2 linked regions of the Arabidopsis thaliana genome follow. The protein of the gene in region 2 interacts with the protein of the main gene of each other region in a pairwise test. Each region holds a gene or a part of one and is shown on either strand. Other genes may lie near its edges.

Region 1 (7,188 bases), on a different chromosome or scaffold from region 2:
TAAGTTTTAGCAAAACAAATATTTTTTATTTATATGGTCTACGACAAGAAGTTTGGTGGTGACTTGAGAGAATCATGAAATCTACAACTTGTGGATGAGAATTCCAGTTTTATCACTTACTCTCTTCTTCGTCTCACACACAATTAAGGGCACACTCTGAAGGAAGGCAAACAAGAACTAGTCAGTTTCTTTGTTTTAGACAACAAGAATCTGTGAACTAACACAAAAACATTGAAAGAATGATCTTAACAATGAAACTTGTTCACCCTCTCCATCACTCTTTGTCTTCCTCCATTCCCTTTCCCTCAAGTACACACATCTGTTATCTCTCTCTGTCAATTACTTGTATGTTTTGAACCAATATCGAGACATCGATTAAGCAAAAATTGTTTTTTTTTTGGATTTGTTATAATTTGCAGGAAAAAGGCAATCCAAACCGTACCGGTGCTCGTTACCTTCTCCCGGCTGCGAAAAGGTCATCAGAACAGAGACTGTCCTGCCTCCGGCGCCGGTGAGTTGTGAAGGGAGAAGGGTCTTACTTGGATGTCTTCTCGCTACAGGTTAGATCATTCTCTATTAGTTCTTCACATCTCCACTTAAGCTCAGTGTATCAAAATCCTTAGAAAATGTTGTTATCTGATTCAAAACAGCTTCTGGGATTTTGTCAACTGGTTCAGCCGAGGCAGTAAGCACCAGTAGAAGAGCTGTAAGCAATATATATATCTATGCATACATTGTGTTCTTGACTCAAAACTCAATCTCTTACATACAATTCTCTGCAGCTACGTGCATCCAAGTTACCGGAAAGCGATTTCACGACTCTCCCCAATGGTCTCAAGTCCGTAATCCAATGCATCATCTTTTGTTTGAATTCGATACAGTACTCATACCGCAAAACAGGATTGAAAAATCAAGTCTTTCTCGCAATAATCACAAGTTTGGTTTCTGTTTATATTGTGGCAGGTACTATGATATAAAGGTTGGCAATGGAGCAGAGGCTGTGAAAGGATCTCGGGTCGCAGTACGGTTGTGAATACGTTTCCTGGTTTACTTTGGACATGTAAATGCTAACAGTTTTAACAAGCGTTGATGCTTAACCCAAATGTTGTGTCGCAGGTTCACTATGTTGCAAAATGGAAAGGGATAACGTTCATGACAAGTCGACAAGGACTTGGTGTTGGAGGTGGAACGGTATAAGGCAATCTTACAGAGTCCATTACTGTACTTGAATATGCAAGGATCCTTTACTGATAATAATGAATTTTTGCAGCCTTATGGGTTTGACGTTGGTCAATCAGAGAGAGGCAATGTTCTGAAAGGACTTGATCTTGGTGTTGAAGGGATGCGTGTAGGCGGTCAGGTTAGTTTTTGAAACCGAAAGGCTTCACAAAGTCAGGCCACTCAAAGTCTTGTTTTGATGACCCTATGAGGTTTATATACAGAGATTGGTGATTGTTCCTCCCGAGCTGGCTTACGGGAAGAAAGGAGTGCAAGAGATTCCTCCAAACGCTACGATAGAGGTAACCAAGTTGAATGGATTGAAATTTTTGTTGGCTTCTAAAGTGGTGTTCATTTATGTTATCTTTCTTTTGCAGCTTGACATTGAGCTGTTATCAATCAAGCAGAGTCCTTTCGGGTATGTGAAATCAATCAACTAATACACTGGGTAAATTTGATCGAAAAAAGTGCCCTGAAAGCTTTCTTTTCGGTTTTATTCTGCAGGACGCCAGTGAAGATAGTTGAAGGCTAAAAGGACTAATGAAGCCAACATTGTACCAAGATTTTCTGTGTACATTCAGTAAAAAACTATAAAATTGATCAAAGCTATGGAAGATTCAACTGTATGAGAAGAATCTGTTTAATGGATTATACCGGCTAGTCCGGTTTTGTAACCGCTTTATAACTGTGTCTCATCACTCAATTCATACACTTTTGGCCGTTTTGCAAAACATTGAATCAATTCAATCCCATGAGGTGGTAAGATACTTTACTAATGGTTAAAATTAAGATCTAGCCTAGCCTCCATGCCTGTAGTTATCTTGGACTGTGAGATCTAGATAGGGTACAAAATGGGTGATACAAATTTCGTACCTTTTTAATGGAAAATTCCTACCAAACACGATTGGAGGGTTGATCTAATACATCAGTGATTGAAAGTTGTAGAGCCCATGGGATTAGAAGGTGTCTTTGCCTGACCGCCTCTTGCATTAGCAGTCCCATGCCCAAACTGATTCCTGGCGTTTGCTGCTTCTGTTGCCGTGACCGACTTCTTTATCTTCAAAATCCACAATGTATATACAAAATCAACAAGAAAATCTTCAATATATAAGTTTCTCTTCTACTCAGAACCATAATCTATACTATTAGGATGTTTAAAATCATGTGTTAAAACTTACAGCCGCAAGTCGCTCTTTGTGAATATCTGTTGTCAACTGCAAAACATTATCCAAGGAAACAACCAAAGATGTTAGGAACTATTTTGTAAATAAGACGAATTGATAAAATGCAGATCTCTAATTCTTACTGGCTTCCGAAATGTCTTGAACTCATCACTGCTAAAACCAGGAGGCCTAATATTCCAGTTTCTTTCTACATTTAAGGAGAAGATACCAAAAAGAAATTACTCATTGTAATTGGAATGAGAAATTGAAAGAAAACGGGCAGGTAGATAATATTGATCAGAACGAACCAACATGGAGCAAGATGTCCTTAGCCTCTAGAATATCTGACTTTCTATGCTTGGCTAAAGAACAGCCAAAAGTTGTGATCTGGGTTAAAGGAAACACAACGAGCAGGAGTTAGAAAAAAAAAACTCATCACAGGACAGAAATGTTTGACTCTTAACCAATGCGGTGTGGGCTACTTACTGACTCCACAAAATCTTCAGCAATATCAGAAAGGATGTCTTCAACCTCTGGATCCAATTTCTCTGACGGGTCAATCTGTGGATAGACAAGGCATTTTAAATTTAGAGAAAAAAATCAATGGATATCATGCAGAGAGTTCAGTGTTGAACACCATCAAAGTAGCCCCTAAAACTATCGATATATGTTATTACTGAATCTGTCAATAGTCATCATACATGCTTTTTGGCTTTCTATGGGAGGTATTATTAGCAAATAACTCAATATCTCTTCTATTTTATTTTTATCAAATACATTCCCCTTTATCTGTAAGAGATCTATCCAAGTAGAAGAAATCAATCACACATTAAGTAAGAATCAAGCGTGAGAATGAGAATACTGGTCAATATGCAAAATGGCTACCCAAAGTTGAGAATATGAAGAGAGGTCAGTGGATACCTGTTGAAGTAGCTCATGGATGCTTCGTTTCCCCAGGATACGATCATCAGACGGCTCGGTCTCTGCAGAAACTGTTTTAGCATGGTTTCCTGGTTGAGCCACAGGAGGCTGGCTCGGCATTACCGGAGAAGTAACTTTCTGATTTACCAAACCTTGGACCCGGGTTGGTTGATGTGGGTGAGCTAAAGGCTGCTGCGGAGATCTCAATTGTTGAAGTTGCTCTTGAGGCTGATGTTGTTGTTGAGATTGTTGTTGCTGAGGCTGTGGAGTTGCTGCTGACGTAGAAATATGTTGCTGAGGAATATGAGGTCTTTGTTGCATAGAGGGAGAATTTACTTGTGGTCTATACGAAGGAGGTGGCAAAGGCGGCTTCCCTTGGGGAGTAGATGATAACCAAGGTTGATTGATAGCTTGCAAGCTTTGTTGTGATGCACCAGTAGATTGGACATTAGGAGAGCTAATAGGTGAAGGTCTCATAAGGCTATGTCCTTGAAAGTTCTGCCAAAAGTAAAATATAAGGAATTAAAGTGTGCAAACAAAGTTGTTGTTAACAAAGGAGTCACAAAGCTGGAGTTCCTATGTCAAGATACAGAGGCCAGAAGGGTAAAAAATACATACTTGAGCAACAGGAGATTGGGTACTTGTGGAGGAAGCTGGCCTTAGAGACGATTGAGTTGGTCTCTGTTGGTGCTGAGTCATCCCACTCGGCCTTATTTGGGAACCTGAGCCAAGTGTTCCCATCATCCCAATTCCCTGAGTTCCTTGCATCATTCTAACCTGAACACACACATACAGAAAAAAGTTGGTATTTTTTTTGTAACAGAGCACAATTCTTTGAAATGTGGCACATATGAGAGAACAAAATCCACCTGAGGGGAACTTGTATTGGACGTAGCTTCTGACATTCCAACAGTTCCACGACCTAATCCGCCGTATTGTTGCCCAAAAGAGCCGGGAAAAGCAGAAGGCGAATGTTGAGAAGGTGTAGGAGAAGGACTCGGAATTGGGGAAGCCGGAACGCCAATCGCCATACCACCTCTTTGTTGCCCACTAATAGGTAAAGACGAAGACGAAGAGGCTGGCGCTGATGAGGAAGATAACAATGGCGACGAAGCGGAGGAGAAGTGAGTGTAAGAGGAGTGTTGTTGCCATGGTCTAGAGTACGCCTGCGGAGGCGGCCGTACTAAAGGCTGGGAGAGATGTTGCTGCTGTTGCGTCGCCGGAGATGTCACCGGACGCGTGTATTGAGGAGGATTAGGGTTTGGATTGAGCGATGGTGATTGTGGAGCTGGGGAAGAGGGAATAGAGGAAACAACGGAGGAGGGACTCGGATTTGTGGAAGGCGTTGGTTGAATCTGTGTTAAAGTCGATGGTTTCGAATCCGACGGCTGAGGAGGTGTTTCCGGTGGCTGAGACGCCGTCGAGCTTTGCCGTGGCTGATCCATGAAAAGGTTGTGAATGTGGAGGGAATAGAGATATTGATTGAGTATATAGAAATCTAATTAAACCGAAATTGTCGGTACGGTATTAAACAAGTGAACCGAAACTGCAAAGCTCGATAATTATTAATACCGGACCGGCTTTAACAATTCCTTTTCTCTGTTGTGTGATTAAAACGATGAGTTTAACCCCAAAGAATAAATGAGAGTTAAAACGCAGCGTTTCATTATGCTCAGATAGCAAGTTTCTTCTATTGCTGGAAATGTAGCTTCCAAGTTAACTAGTGTCAAAGTCTCTGGTCTTTTTCTCACATACTCAAGAGTACACAGCGATCAAATTAGCTAGTGTCACGACAAATTGGAGATTTGTTTGCAGCCTTTAGAGCCTTATAGCAAAGAAGAACTGGCATTGATTTTGATATATTTTGTGGATTGGAGAAGATATTGTCAAATTTTCAAAGCTTGTGACGTTGCCAAAATTATGTAGGTTTAGTGATAATAATTCAGGATTCTAAATGTGAAGTGTGGATAAGTGATAATAATTCATGTAGAAAGAAACATTGTCTAGCTAAAGATGACCATTGTTTGGGTCAAAATATATAAATAACATTATGATCAAGAACTACCATCACATAAAAGATAACTTCGATGTAATAATCTCGATAAGACTTTAAGAGAAAACATCAATGTTCATTAGACATGACAGGATCAAATCTTTTCTTCAACGTACCAATCTGCTTAAGACTCAACCCAAAAGCTTTCATAAGCAACTCCTCATTGATCCCTGACCCAAAAACCACGGACGGTATCTTCTGAATACCAGGGTTTTGGCTATTAAGTCCGCCGACAATCGTGGCCGTAACATCTCCGACGTTCATCTGAAAATGTACAAGCCCTTTTGGGTAAACCATCATTTCTCCTTCTTCCATCACTTTAGCGTAAACCTTATTGTTCGAGTCCACAAAACCAGAGTAAACCCGTCCTTTAACCAAGTGGGCTACTTCCGTCGCCCGCGGATGGTAATGTGGTGGGTTAATGGATCCGGGTTTGAGATCAGCCCGGACAAACGAGATGCCTAATGTATTAAGGCCGGGGAAGTTTTCTGGGCCTACTGGGACGGTGGCGAACCCCGTCTCCGTGAAGTTTCCGGCAGTTTTTAGACCGGAAAAGACAAAATCTTCGGTGGTTACTTCGGAGGAGTTTTTGCAAGGGAGATTGGTGGAGAAGTGATGGTCATGGTAAGGAGATGTCACAGGTTTTGGTATGCAGAAGTCTTGGATGGGATCAGGGTCGGAAGCTAATGTGAAGCATACATTAAAACAAAGAAGACAAAGAGCTTTTAGAAGAAACAAAGTGTTTGCTTCCATTTTACTTGAGGTCCATGTGAAGAAGAGTTGTGTTACATCCGGTTTAAATAAGCATATGTATATCTGGTGGGGGTAAATGAGAGACTGGTTAAGATGGTTACTTTTTATCAACCAAAATTTCGTCTGTGAAATTAAGGTGTGGGTTTTTGTACCAAATGAAAAACCACGTTTGGATATGTGGTTTTGGTTATGGGAGTGGTTAGGCCGGTACATTGACTGATAAACCCCTTTTGTGGCTTGATTGACACATCTCTTATGAATTTACTATTCGTCTATGTAATTCATAGTTACAAATTAATACAATTGTGCATAAAAATGGAAATATAACTGGAGTCCAAGGTTTCGGATCCTAGTGTCAATCCCGGTTTATAATGTAATTTTGGTATAGGCATAACCAAATCTATGTCTTGGGCTGAAGCAGGGGCCCGTATAAGGCGTGCTGTGTGCGCATGCCATGATATTCAAAATGATGAATTTGTTGCTTAAGCTTTTTGTTATCTCCAAGGCATGATTAGAGAGGCACATGAACATCATTTTTTCGGTGGTAAAGGTTTAGGCAGAGTGTGAAACATGACTTATTTCTTTGATATAACAAAGTGAAGATATTAGTTCAAAAAAAAAAAAAAAAAAAAAAAAAAACAAAGTGAAGATAAAGAAATGATTTTTAATATATTATAGATTTAGAGTCTAAAGCATCAATCTTTGATAATTAAATTTTTTAACATCATAATAAGAATTTAATTATCCAAACGATATAACATTTGTTCTTCAAAGCAACCAAAAACAATTTGCAAAGAGAATCAACGAAGTCTTCTAGCTTCTCTCTCGGACTCCAGCAAGGTGAGAATATCTCCCTCTCTGACAGGTCCTTTAACGTTCCTCATGATGTAACGGTCCGAGTCAGTGAACTTCACTCTAACCTGAGTCACTTGACCCCTTGATCCAGTCCTTCCCATCACTTTCACTACAACAGCGTGCTTGATCTGAGAATCCATTCTGATTCAACAAAACAAAAACATTCAGAGACCAAATTTTACAAAAGAAGTGAAAATCCTTAGAAAAAGAGAATTGTTCACATTT
Region 2 (5,546 bases):
TGTTGTGTAAGTTCTAGCCATGTTCAAAGTTTGAATCTTTTGGAACCCTTTAGATCATGAAACAATCTTACTGTGTCATTGAACCTGGAATCTGTGTTTTAGGATTGCTTTTATAATCTTTTGGTATCATTTCTCTCTTGTATTTGTTGATTATGTGGATCATGAATAATATCATATGATTTATGACTGGACTTGTTGGTTTGGACATTTAGTTTATTGAAGTAAAGATTTGAAGACAATGCAAGTGTTTCAAAGGAAAGAAGATTCATCTTGGGGAAACTCAATGCCTACAACAAATTCAAATATTCAAGGATCTGAATCTTTCAGCTTGACTAAGGATATGATAATGTCTACAACACAATTACCCGCGATGAAACATTCGGGTTTGCAGCTGCAAAATCAAGATTCAACCTCATCACAATCTACTGAAGAAGAATCAGGCGGCGGTGAAGTTGCAAGCTTTGGAGAATATAAGCGTTATGGATGCAGCATTGTTAATAACAATCTCTCAGGTTACATCGAAAACTTGGGAAAGCCTATTGAAAATTATACTAAGTCAATTACTACCTCGTCGATGGTGTCTCAAGACTCTGTGTTTCCTGCTCCTACTTCTGGTCAAATATCTTGGTCTCTTCAATGTGCTGAAACGTCACATTTCAATGGTTTCTTGGCTCCTGAATATGCATCAACACCAACGGTAATATGCTGTGAAGCCTTTTGTGCTTTTACTATTCTGAATCGATCTGGCGCATTGATTGGTTGATTGGGAAATCTTTTTGCAGGCGCTGCCACATTTAGAGATGATGGGTTTGGTTTCTTCAAGAGTGCCATTGCCTCATCACATTCAAGAGAATGAACCAATATTTGTCAATGCGAAACAGTATCATGCGATTCTCCGTCGCAGGAAGCACCGTGCTAAACTCGAAGCTCAGAACAAACTCATCAAATGCCGTAAAGTATGACTGTTTTCACTTTCCATTTTGCCTAAAACACCAAAGAGAAAGAGGGAAAACTAACTCAGAAGATCTTGATGATTTGATGTAATAAAGTTTTGTTTTCTTTTTCTGTAGCCGTACCTTCATGAGTCTCGCCATCTTCATGCTTTAAAGAGAGCTAGAGGCTCCGGTGGACGTTTCCTCAATACAAAGAAGCTTCAAGAATCATCAAACTCACTGTGTTCTTCTCAAATGGCAAATGGACAAAATTTCTCTATGAGCCCTCACGGTGGTGGAAGCGGAATCGGGTCTAGTTCGATCTCACCGAGCTCCAATTCAAACTGTATCAACATGTTCCAAAACCCGCAGTTCAGATTCTCAGGTTATCCGTCAACACACCATGCCTCAGCTCTCATGTCAGGGACTTGAGGCACATGAGAAGACCTTGCTCCGAGAGAACTCAGGCTAAACTCCGGAGACTGGTGATGATACATGACGGGAAGTCATCCTTGGCTACTTATGTTATCGGTTACAAAATTTCTTCCTTTTAAAAACTTTGCTTTCATATCCTCTACAATCTCTCACTCTATATTGAGTGACTTGACGAACTTTCAAATCATTGTCAAACTATTTTGTTAACTTCCGATTCTCTGAGAGTACAAATTGCATTACCCTATTACATACAATGAGAGAAGATTCAGGGTCACTAAGAGTAATATACACGCATAGATCCCCTAATGCTCTGAAGACAAACTGGACACTTAGGGTTTAACTCTCGTTCCACGGTTGAAGCACATCGCCTGCAACATACTACATGTCCACAGGGAATAAACGCAGGTACTCTCCTTCTTGACACGCAGATCACACACAATTCTCCATCTGGGATTTCATCTGCATCTTCGGGTTCATCATCGACCACAGAATCGTTCGGTCTCTGTGGCAGTTCTCTCTGATGGTTCCATTGTTTCCATTTATTCCAGGTCCTGAAGATAAGACAGTTAAACAGATTTCAAATCGAAACATTGCCCAAATCTAAAACCAAATCTGATCTCTCACAACTCCAGTACCTGACAGCAGCATAGCTAAGGATGCCAACAGACACAATGCCCAAGATAACGCTGCCCAAGAATATAAAGTTGGTCTGTTCCATAAGGTCCTCAATCATCTTGTCCTTGGTCATCTCTGATCTGCAAAGATTATTCATAAAGATTTATATATGAACAGCAAATAGAGCCTTTCTGCAACAATGGACTAAATCTTGTCAAATGATCAACAGATTGAGAAAACATAAAGAAGAAGATGAAGTAATAATTTGAGCTAGAACGCAGGCAGATATATAAGAACGAAAAATATTCAGATAAAATCTCACAAGAAATAAGGAAGATCTTGGCACGATTTGATTTCAGGAACTCCATTATTAAAACTGTAGATGCCAACAGCTGTTATATCTTTCCCAGGTGGTAAAATCTTCTCTATATCAAGCAGACCAACCTTGGAAGAGAAAGGATTACAAAGTTAGCCAAGAACAAGTAACCATCAGTTCCTCAAAACCAGAAATTTCTTTGAATATATATATACTCACAGGATAATCGGGGTACAAAAAGGCTTGAAGAAACGAAGAATTAATAGGCTGCAAGCGATTATACACAGTGGTAAGCGGAAGAGGTTGCCTTGAGCCATCCATGTTAACAGCGACAAAACTAGAGTTCGATTGCTGATCCTTTCCAACAATGACAAATGGGACCTGCACAAAGCAAAGGATACACAAAACAAGTTTGATCATGGATACAGAGCCAAAGTTGAAAGCTCTGAAGCTGATAGAGAGACTTTACCGTTCTCGTAAAATCAGCACCGTGTTTGCGCAATGATCTCTCCAACATAAACCGGTGACCAGTGGACTGAAACAATCTCTTCCATCCACTATACACATACTGTCAACAACAAAATGATGACATTAGAAACATACATTTCCCTTCTGAGATCACACCAGTACCAACTTACATAATCCTAACTTAATCAATCACAATGAACACCTAATCATGAAGAAATCATCCAAACTCTTTAACCTAAGCCTTTGATAAGAACACAAAGCAAAATTAGGTCAATGTCAATTGCAATTTGAGGGAAACATAAACACTTAGGGTTTAGAGCAACGTACAGTTTGCGTTCTCTGAATGATAAGAGCTTTATCTCCAGTCTCCGGAGAGATTAACACGTTGTTGTTCTTGTAACCCTCATCACCGGAAATTTTCGGTTTGACGACTCCGCGAACCACAACGATTCGCTGATCATTGCTCTTCCTGTTATCGTTAGTCTCTGATTTGTCTTCAGAAGCCGGAAGCAGTGATCGGAGGTCGGAAATGGAGACTTCGGGTGCATCTTTGATCTTCTTCAACGCGGCGTTGGTAGAAGCATACTTGAGAGCAGAACCGACGGCGCTAACAGCTAAAGTCAGTCCGAGGATTGCGCCGTCGAAGGAGAGAGCGATGTCCGTCAATAGATTCAAGAGAGCACGCTCCGGCGAGGACATTGTGGTAATTTCGATTTCAACGTCGTAGACACGGTCACACGGACAAGTAAACGGAAGAGAAATGAGGCTATTATCGGTATTTAATATTATACATTCGACCGTCGTTCTAATTTGGGTCTTTAATGGGCCTATGCACGAGTGAAATACAAAATACTAGTAATAAATAGCGTTTTAGTTAAATTACATTTACACCCTCAACGTTACAGCAGATTTACAAACCAAAACCATAAATATCAGATCTAGAGTGGCAGAGATTAGTATTTCCCGATTCCTCGCCGCCGTTCATCAATCTCTCCGTCGTGTTTCTGCCACTAGCTCTCCACCAAACTTTCTCTCTCGCATTAGGTATTTATCGCCTCTTTATGGCATATAATCTTGTGTTTTGGAACTTATTGATGAAGCTAGGTTAGAATCTCCTTTGTCTTTCTTATCTCCGATTCGTGAAGCTCTAATTCTTATTTATTCGATTTATGTAATGTGTTGCTGTTACACGATGTTTGCTTGTGAGATTCGATTGAAACTTGTGTTGTTGCAACATCAATTCTGTATAAGAAAGGTTCTTAATTTGACTCTGTAGCTTTACTTTTTTTTTAGTTGTTTAGGGATAAACATGGCAGGAGAAGGTGAAGAAGATGTACCTAGAGATGCTAAGATTGTGAAATCTCTGCTTAAGTCGATGGGTGTAGAAGACTACGAGCCTCGTGTGATACATCAGTTTCTGGAGTTATGGTACCGGTATGTGGTCGAAGTGTTGACAGATGCTCAGGTTTACTCAGAGCATGCTAGCAAACCCAACATTGACTGTGATGATGTGAAGCTCGCTATTCAATCCAAAGTTAATTTCAGCTTCTCACAGCCTCCTCCAAGAGAGGTATGCATTGTTGACGATTCCATGTTTCTTCTTCTTCATTGTCTGAGAAGAGATGCGATATGATCGGTCATTTGGTATATGTGAATCATTAGGGAATTATCACTCTTACTTATGACTTATGAACTGTGTGTGACCCTCTTGCCTCATAAATTGTATCACTGAGAACCTCAAGTTTTTGTCTGTCACATCCATGCCTTTTGGTTCCTGAATCTTGAAGTTTCTGTTTTTGATGTTTGATTTAGGTTCTGCTTGAGCTTGCTGCAAGTAGGAACAAGATACCTCTGCCAAAATCGATAGCAGGACCCGGTGTTCCACTCCCACCTGAACAGGACACATTGCTGAGCCCAAATTATCAGCTCGTGATACCGAAGAAGTCGGTTTCAACAGAACCTGAAGAAACCGAGGACGATGAAGAAATGACAGATCCTGGACAGTCCTCTCAAGAACAACAACAGCAGCAACAACAAACCTCAGACCTTCCAAGCCAAACTCCTCAAAGGGTCTCTTTCCCACTCTCTAGACGACCCAAATAAGTACCCAAATAAGTAGATAGACCAAAAAATCTATAATATTTATGTATCAACAAGTAGAAATGTAACACAATCAAAAATTAATGACCAGAGCCAGTTTTTATGGACCAGATCCAGATGTGTGGTTTGAAGATTTAGAATGTAAGAGAATCAAATATTAATGACCAGAGTCAGTTTTTTAGAACATATAGGCATATCTTATATACACTGTTGTGTGGGAATCAACAATACCGAAGGTACAACAAATCTTCTGAAGCATTATACTATATATGCAACTATAGTATATATACATGAACAAAGGTAATTAAGAGAATCAGTTAGCTTCCCCAGCCAACCATGGTACCAGTAGCTGCACGGTGAGGCCGTGAAAACGCAAGCCCTCGATCATACATCCGCTGAATTTCCTCTCTGTATTCAGTCAGAGACTTGTCAGGTATGGCTGGAGTCAGCTCCACCACATCTCCCATCTTCAGCTTGCATTTCAGATCACTTACAGGTGTCTGGTTAAGTCTTGGCCTTAGCTCTTCCTTTGCCGGGATGCTGTACATTGACCATCTCGAGCTCCCTGGTCCTGCTCTGCGTAACAGGTCCGACACGGTAGAATTCTCGGGAAACTCTTGCACAGTCATCTGCATTTTCGGGTTTATCAAATTATAACTCCAAGCAAAGAAACATCCTCA

Evidence for each region.
Region 1: the proteins of TAFII21 (region 2) and TAF12 interact in a two-hybrid assay, tested with the Arabidopsis thaliana proteins (one study listed by BioGRID).

Annotation. Positions count from the first base shown.
Region 1 is NC_003074.8:3,102,052-3,109,239, forward strand, and holds TAF12 (TBP-associated factor 12), read right to left. Parts: upstream 4,776-7,188; 5' UTR 4,748-4,775; coding exon 4,172-4,747; intron 4,080-4,171; coding exon 3,921-4,079; intron 3,801-3,920; coding exon 3,303-3,800; intron 2,943-3,302; coding exon 2,868-2,942; intron 2,769-2,867; coding exon 2,690-2,768; intron 2,590-2,689; coding exon 2,525-2,589; intron 2,433-2,524; coding exon 2,397-2,432; intron 2,276-2,396; coding exon 2,144-2,275; 3' UTR 1,829-2,143; downstream 1-1,828. Other genes in the region: AT3G10060 (FKBP-like peptidyl-prolyl cis-trans isomerase family protein), read left to right, coding at 240-309, 420-560, 651-706, 783-838, 964-1,021, 1,117-1,191, 1,271-1,360, 1,443-1,520 and 2 more; AT3G10080 (RmlC-like cupins superfamily protein), read right to left, coding at 5,425-6,321; AT3G10090 (Nucleic acid-binding, OB-fold-like protein), read right to left, coding at 6,909-7,103.
Region 2 is NC_003070.9:20,213,399-20,218,944, reverse strand, and holds TAFII21 (TATA binding protein associated factor 21kDa subunit), read left to right. Parts: upstream 1-3,679; 5' UTR 3,680-3,810; intron 3,811-4,059; 5' UTR 4,060-4,075; coding exon 4,076-4,336; intron 4,337-4,578; coding exon 4,579-4,869; 3' UTR 4,870-5,046; downstream 5,047-5,546. Other genes in the region: NF-YA5 (nuclear factor Y, subunit A5), read left to right, coding at 239-697, 783-956, 1,071-1,364; SPL2 (E3 Ubiquitin ligase family protein), read right to left, coding at 1,642-1,918, 2,003-2,122, 2,305-2,426, 2,518-2,679, 2,768-2,866, 3,094-3,465; RSH3 (RELA/SPOT homolog 3), read right to left, coding at 5,184-5,495.